2 linked regions of the Xenopus tropicalis genome follow. The protein of the gene in region 2 purifies or fractionates together with the protein of the main gene of each other region. This does not show direct contact. Links are inferred from orthologs where the notes say so. Each region holds a gene or a part of one and is shown on either strand. Other genes may lie near its edges. The genes, in order: sap130 and arid4b.

Region 1 (3,822 bases), about 69 Mb from region 2:
CCCGAAAATAACACCAAGATCACACAACACAAAGATTAACATGCATAATATAGAACACAGAAAGGAAAATTAGAAAATAGCTTAAGAATCCAGCAACAATGCAATTCGGTGAACTCCATAAGAGTGGACTCCTGGCACCAGTAAAGCTTTCAAATACAACTCTAAGATCTGTGTTATTTTACATGCAGTATTTGATTTATTGACTAATGCACTTTATCATATCAATGTGTAAAATGTAACATAGGTTCTAAATTGCCCCAGTGAAACTACAGTGGCCATACATTAAAAAAATGTGCACGGTTGTTGACCTCGCCCTGATATGCCCACCTTGGTGACATTAGATTGATCGAATTATTTGGGCTGAGGGATAAACATTAACATTAAAAGGATTTAAGCGGTTGTGATGAGGAGCGCCTACGACAGGATTTTTAAATCAGCCCGAACATGTGCCTAATTTTGGCCCCATACAATGCCTTCTGGGGCTTGGTGTTAACACGCTACACACATGCCACATTTAATCCTTAGCACTCACCCATCAGTTGCAGGTTTCTTTCGTAGGATGCTGGGTCGAGGAGAGGACCCCTGTGCAGGGGAACTGCTGATCCCAGGACTCTGACTGTGGCTCTGCATAACTGTAGTGCCAGCAGGTGTGGCACTGAAAGTACTGTTTATTGGATTTGCAACAATTGTGGCACCCTCAGCAAGTACAACTGTAGTGGAAAGTAGTATAGATCAGCTGAAATCTAAACCAGAGCTACACATATGTAAAAATCAAACTCTGACAACATTAAAAGGACATTAAAAATCTATTTCACTTGGGGGGGGTTCCAAAATATTAGGCACCCCCTGCTAGTGAAATAGATTGCTAAGCTTTTCCTTGGGCTGGTGCTGCTGTTAAGAGAAAAGTGCACCGGCCCATGGAAAAGTTACCTGTACTGCACCGGCATCTCTGCGCCTTCAATCTTCTATCCTTTGGCGCTTCACATTCTACACACGCAGGGTAGAGTAGTTCTGCCGGGTTTTCTCTTCACCTTTAAGTTTTTTTGGGGGTTTTTTTTTTTTTTTTCAGAGGTGAAAAGTACAGCTATGAAAACACATGCAAACAAAGCACCAATATGTTTCATTTAAATTACAATATTTTTTTTTAATTGGTGAGTATTGAGTGATAAAGATGAAGAAAAAAGAGATTAGTAAAGAAAGAAAGAGGAAAGAAATGACGTCTACACTAGCAGGAGGACTTCTACATTTATGTGCTTAATGAGTGAAAAAAGGGTATAGCAGCAATGATCTCAGACAGCTCTGTGGCAGTGGGACATATCTATCATATATTTGCATGGAAATTCAAATGAACTGCCCATGTGGGCCTGTATAGTGTTTTTCAATCTTACAAAAGTCTAGCCCTGTCTAGGGAGAGGACCAGAGGAATATCCATTATCAATATTTGTCACCGGAGAGTGCAATTCATACAGACATAGCATAGTAAGACTTGGCACATCATTAACTAATATGCCAAAATGCACACACTTGCTGCGGATGCTACACTGAAAGTAAGAATAAATGCACCTAAGGAAAAACGTTTCAGAACAGATTATTAAGCTTATTCTAAGAATCAATCATCACACATCCTCATTAAATCATTCCTGTGCTTTGTGGTACCATTGCATGGAATAGCATATATCATTACCAGAAGCCTTTGGTTCATTTGGAGCTTGCTGTGAGCTGACTGAAGAGGTCTGAACTCCCTGGTTAGTTATTGATGTTGCAGGGTGGATTGCCTGGGTGTTAATTGAAGTTTGCTGGATTCCCTGGGTATTTATAGGTGTTGCCTGGATGCCCTGTGCACTAAAAGGAGATGGTTGTATCCCCTGTGCACTAACTGGAGCAGGCTGGATTCCCTGAATGTGGCGTGTGTGTGATGTGTCCATGTTTATCAGCTGCATTGGATTCAGGTGGACTGTGGAAGCCACAGACTGGGCCGTGATGGCAGAGTTTGGAGCTTGAGCTGAAACTAAAAAAAAAAATAAAAGTTAGCCAAATTACCTTCTAAAGGTGGCCATACACATTACAATCTTTTCTGCAACCACTGGTCGCAGGAAAAAGATTGTTCGTACCCTCCACTAATGTTGAGAGCTGAATAGTCAGATTTGGAGGTAAAAACAAATAGAAATTCTGCCCCTATCTGATAATTCAGGGCTAAATGCTTGCTCGGGCACCTTCAAAGGCACCCAATCAAAATTTTCTGTCCCACCCAACTGACGAAACAACCACTATCCAAGGCTTTTGTGATATTGGTCACCTCGTCAATCCAACATACATTATCATACAATACGATAATATCAGTGCATGTATGGGCACCTTAACAAATGAATAATTATTTGACACAAAAATACACAATTGTTTCAACAATCGTTTCCATCAATTGTTGTAATCTATTACTTAAACTCCTGGGTGCTAATAACTGAAACAATATACACTAGGTAAGTATAGCACTCAACAATTTTTTTTTATTTTATTATAAAATATTTTTGTCACAATAATATGACCTGTTGAGTGGTATACTTACTGTACATGTGTTTGTATATTTGTGTGTATATATCTCTCACCACATTAAACTATTTAACAGCAGCTTTTTATTTTAATATACCCACTTTTATTCCCCCTAAATGTTTTCCTGAGATACTAACCTGGGTATTGTCGTATGGTGGACACAGAGCTAGTAATGGGGGTATAAGTGTGTGCTGCCAGGGGATATGCAGACGGAGGATAGGTTGGTAGAAAGTACTGTAACTGCACTGGAACAGGTTGTCTGCAAAACACAAAAAGGTTACTGATTAAAAGATATATCTGACCAAGGGTAAATTTTAACAAGAAGTGAGAGGAAATAATGTGTATGCATGAGTTTGTGTACATGTGTAAGACACCTCTCTCTTTCCTTTAGATTCTTTTTTTTATTTTTGTCTCAGAATTCTCCCCAAGTGTACACCTACTTATATTCAATGTCAGACTAATGATAGATGCATTCCTAGATAAGTGGTTTTCAATTCTTGTTTGTTTCTGTTATTATATTTTACAGACATTTATAAGGATCATCATATTCCATTACACAGTAAAACAGAATAAGAATACATTTAACTACACACAAACACTGATCCATACAGGTGGTAAGAGGAACCTGCTTATTAAAGCTTACAAACCTCCTTTTTTCTAGCCTCATTTACCAAAGGCAAAGATAGAGAAAAAGGAAAACATTCAGGGCAGTATGTAATTTGTTTATCCTAAAGCCCACATGGGATCATCTCTGATTTTAGATCCGAACTTTTTACATGCTTTATGAAGGACAGGTCATGTCAGACCAATTTAATTGCTTTTTATGATGAGGTAAGTAAGAAGCTGGACAGTGGGGATGCAGTAGATATAATCTATTTGGATTTTGCCAAAGCATTCGATACCGTTCCCCACAAACGACTGCTTTCTAAGCTAAGGTCTATTGGTCTTAGTGAAGTCATTTGCACATGGATAGAAAACTGGCTATAGGATCGGGTACAGAGGGTGGTTGTTAAAGGCACATTCTCTACTTGGAATAAGGTTCTCAGTGGGGTCCCTCAGGGTTCTGTACTGGGTCCACTTTTGTTTAATTTGTTCATAAATGACTTAGGGGAGGGTATTATGAGTAATGTATCAGTGTTTGCAGATGACACAAAACTCTGCAGACCAGTCAATTCTAACCAGGATGTGACATCCCTGCAGCAGGATCTTGACCAACTGGCAATCTGGGCAGCTAAGTGGCAGATGAGATTTAATGTGGATAAATGTAAGGTCATG
Region 2 (4,591 bases):
AAAATACAAAGCTAAAGCCTGTTGAGATCATGTAGATGTCAATGGCAGATGTCCCTTTTACAATTGGAAGATGTTTCTTTGCTTCCTGGTTTTCAGGTGTTTGATTCTGGCTTTTGTGCGACATTAAGAAAAAGTCAAGGTTATCATGTGATAAGTTGCAGTTTTCAAAACTTTTTTCCAACTTTTCCCTATTTTTACTTTCCAGTTCGGATTTTTGTGAAATGACGACCATTCAAGGAAAGGGTTTTTTTTTGTGAATTCAATTTAAAAAAAAATGAATAAAAATGAGAGAGAAAATTGCATTTTAGCAACCCCCCATAATGTTATATACATAATATGTTACTTGTAAAGTATATAAATAAAACAAACAGATTTCAACAGCATTGCATATACCAGAGCTTTGTTTTCTTTCTTTTGTTTTTAATAGGACATCCTGATAAATGCAACTTGCACTGCTTTGGTCTTTGCATGCAGGGGTTTAATAATTAAATAATAAATAATTTAAGTGGAAACATTTCAAAATATGTTCTGATCACAGGAAAGACTGGAGTGCTGGAACCTTCAATCATTTCACATCATTGAAATGCTTGTTCCTATCACTATTAATTACATACTTGGAAAAGAGATTGATGCAAGCCTGGACACTGCATACTGTATTACTGTACCATTATATAGCAAACAGAAGAGAGTTTTGTCCCCAGTCAAGAGGAATTAGAGATTTTCTGACAGCTAATACAGATTTTTAGCAGCTACAGTGTTGTACAGTTATTATTACTGCCACAAAAGACAAACAAAATGCAATAATTTGACAATGACTTCGACATTATATAGTCTTATTTTATAGTTCAACAAGTATTGAAAGAGCCATCAAGACATAAGTGAATTTTCTTATAGAACAAATATTTCTCCTCTACCCCAAAACTATTATAGCATTAAAAAAACGCTAATAACTATAACAGACTCAGCTTCAAATCCGACTGCATATAGTAATGTAGCTCACACATAATGGAAATAGACGGAAAGAGATAAAGATGCTTAAAGCTATACGATGAGAGAGCCAAACGGTTAACACCTTAAACAAAGAAAACACAGAGCAACACTATGTATCAAGTAGGCAACTGTCCTCCCCGCTCAGGAAGCAAACATGTAGCATCTGCATTTTAGCTTGATCGGCATTGTATCAATTTTAAGGCTGTTTGTGTACTGAAGCTGCTGCACCGACGCTTCTACAGCCTCATCTTTAGTACTGTTGATAAATGCTTCCACATTACAATGCTAACTCAACAAATGACGCCATTTCTGTCCCCGGGCCAAGTGTATTGGGAAGATGAACAAAATCAGACTGGGGCGTAAACAGTGCAACTAAAGATGCATCAACGGCAAATAAGCAAGAAAAAGACTGGAAAAAGCAACAATAACAACGTAGGAGTAAAAAAAAAAAAAAAACAAAGGGCGGAGAAGGCTGAGCAACAGACACCTGCCAGTGGCTGCATAGCGCGGCGCCGGGAGATGCCAGTCACATGACAAAAAACAGCACCACTTCTTCGTTCCGCTGTTACTGATATCGCTCTGCCATGTTGTACCGCTCTCATACCATTAAGCTGCAGCATGATATAACGCGGGCTGCAGCGTCCTTACTCTGTAACTTTCCCCTAAGGCTGCAATGAAGCTGCACTGGCATCTATACGCCTGCTCGATGTACACGGAGCTGTATTTGCCAGGTAACCACACGCAAGGTTACTGCAGATCTATAGGAAGCCGGCCTGTCTAGTAGGGTACAAGGCTGCCTTGACAGCTAACGTTTACGAAAATCGTAGTACTGGGTACCCTTGCAAGCCTACAATATGCTGAATAGAAATACCAGCAACTCGAGGGGTTGGAGAAGCTAGTAGCTGAAATTCGACACCAGTCAAACGGGAGACTGCGCTTCTCCCCAGCTTTACTGCCCAAGAGAACAAGTACATAAGCAAAAACTTTGGGCTAGGGCTGAACATAGACAGCTGTGTTCCTAACTGGATACAAAGAGAGCTCTAACACACCATGTGGATGCTACTTGGTACCCGGCTGAAAGCCGGCATTTTGTCGAGTTGTGAGCACGGGAGATGTTGCTGCAGGACTGCAAACACCATGCACTACCCCCGCCCGATGCACTAACAATGTACAATGCAGCCAGCGGAACGTGTGCAGCAGAAAGAGAGAACAGGGCACGTACACCTTTGGGGGGCATGTGAGGACGGGGAGATAGGAAATGCAGCTTGTAACCGGCTGCACAGAACAAGAGGAAGCTCGACACCAATACCAGCGGAAGGGCACTAGGACATGGGGCTGAAGCAGGGACGTCTAACCTGCGAGCCTGACAGCTGTTGTTAAACTATGTCTTCCACCTCCCTCATAGCCTTCTCCCTGACTATTAAAGGCTTAGGGAAGAGGAACTGCCAGTTATAGATCAACAACTGCTGGAGGGTCGCAGGTCTGAGCATGTTTGGATTAAAGCCAAGAATAAACTATCGAAAAATCCACACATGAACCCTATGCAGCGGCATCTAGCATAAAGCGCCTGTGCCATGCACCCTCCTGATGCTGCTTCTCCGGGTATCTTGCATCCCGGCAGGGGGTTGCGTGTTTTCCCAATACTGAAAGCAGAGAGAGGAAAGAAATGACTCTTACATGAGTGGATGCTCGGTGCGGCGGTACGTCTCTTCCTTTCTTCAGCAGAGCCTTGATGCGTCCCTGAAAGCTCTCAAACTCGGGTATCTTAACCCTCAACGGATTAAGCTGCAGCCGCCGCCGCCACCTCCTTCTCCTCTTCAGTCAGCGACGGCTGCTCGGCAGCGTTATCCCAACACAACAAGTCACCTCCCTCCCCCCCACCTGCTCCACGACACCAATGCTTCTCGGTATCCCCAGCAGTGCCCAGGTGGGCGCCAGGGCACCTGCAAAGTGACAAAGCAGGTTTGTCAGCTCGTTCAGCTTCTTCCCGAAGATTCACTCTGCACCCCCCACCGGACAAACGGCCCGTTCCGTCATCCAGACCGCTAGCTCCTCCCACCGACTGGACTAACTGTCAGCATCATCCTCCCTCTGCAGTCTCTCATTGGGTAGCCTTTCTAGTTAGAGCGACCGCCTTTTCTTTCCAATTGGCTCTTAGCAAATCTAAGGGAAAGGTTAGCTCACTTAAGTGAAGGATGATGGGGAATTTAGTTCAGGCTGTAAACCGACACCCCTCAGAGCATGAAGCCTTGCGCTTAATGAACTACATATCCCAGAAGGCAGTGCAAACTGTCGGTGCGGTAAAGCTATTTTTATAGAGGCACAAGGTATGCGCCTGCGCATACGGCTTGGATCAATGCGTACTGTAGTTGTGAATGCGAATGAGGGAGCCGGGCGGGTTCCTATTTGGGTGTGGAGCTTCGTTAGCGGAAAAAAGCGTTTGCTTTCGCTGACAGGATACGTGTAAGGAGGTACTGCTGCTGTTGCCCATACACACAGGTTTAGATTCGGTTAGACCTGGGAAATCACAAGTGTAAACATTACATTACAAGGTAAGTGTCTACGACTGAGGGTGATCCATCTGTCTCTATCGCTGTGGGGTGTGTAACTCTGTTCGCCTAAACTGACCTGTACATCCCTTGGCCATTGCTTCTCAGTGATCGACAGAAGTGGATGAGATTCAGGTTTATAAGTTTATGTATAAAGGCAATTTGGCCCTTCTAGCCTGTGTTGTTGGAATTTTGCTAGTGCTGCTTATTGCAAATCATAGAGCCTATTGAATGACGTGTAGCACACGCAAATACTTTTTTTTTGTTGTATAATAACATATTTGTAACATTTTATAATATGACTATATTAATAATATATGAATAATTCACTTTTACAGTTAATGCTGCTAGCCTTTTCTGACTAAAGAGAGTGAATTATAGAAAGTGGGAGTTTTGTGCACACTCTAATGATCATGGTAGAATGGTGACATTTTTGAGGGGAAGATATTAATTTAACACTTACCATTGGAGAACGGCTACCTATAATTATACAGTGAATAATGTGTCCCCTATTGTAAAATATAAGGATATTATAAGTTACCAAAGAGTATCGCAGGTCGTGGAACTCTGAGTTGACTTGAAATATCTTCATATTTTACAATAGGGGTGCATTTTTTTATTTATTTTTTACATATTATATTTTTAAATTCTATTATTTGATATTATATTTTTTTATTATAAAACACACGTTTCAGTGAGCATCACTGAGCACTGATGACATTACTAAGTACAAACAAACACACACACATATATATATATATATATATATATATATATATATAAATATCATGTACAGGATATTAATAATATGTATCATGTATTAATATATAGTGGTTCATTACTTTATGCAGAGGTTTATTCTTCCTAAATCTTTATTTTCTGCCTATGCTAGTGATGAAAGGCTAAGTCACTTGGGGGTGCCAAAATGTTAGGCACCCCCCAGTGACTTTAATCGCTTACCTTTTACCCCAGCTGGTGCCCCTGTTAGGAGAAAACTGCACCAGCCCGGGGTACCTGTAGCGAGCGCTTCCTCCTTCCTCTTTTTTCTGCTG

What was found.
Region 1: the proteins of arid4b (region 2) and sap130 fractionate together in Homo sapiens (co-fractionation; 4 studies listed by BioGRID, with this or other methods). This does not show direct contact. The link is inferred for Xenopus tropicalis from reciprocal best matches to the Homo sapiens genes ARID4B and SAP130.

The regions. Positions count from the first base shown.
Region 1 is NC_030681.2:125,400,525-125,404,346, forward strand, and holds part of sap130 (histone deacetylase complex subunit SAP130), read right to left. Parts: intron 2,807-3,822; coding exon 2,685-2,806; intron 2,009-2,684; coding exon 1,685-2,008; intron 711-1,684; coding exon 533-710; intron 1-532. UniProt on the Homo sapiens protein: Acts as a transcriptional repressor. May function in the assembly and/or enzymatic activity of the mSin3A corepressor complex or in mediating interactions between the complex and other regulatory complexes.
Region 2 is NC_030681.2:55,944,184-55,948,774, forward strand, and holds the start of arid4b (AT-rich interactive domain-containing protein 4B), read right to left. Parts: upstream 3,065-4,591; 5' UTR 2,670-3,064; coding exon 2,668-2,669; intron 1-2,667. UniProt on the Homo sapiens protein: Acts as a transcriptional repressor. May function in the assembly and/or enzymatic activity of the Sin3A corepressor complex or in mediating interactions between the complex and other regulatory complexes.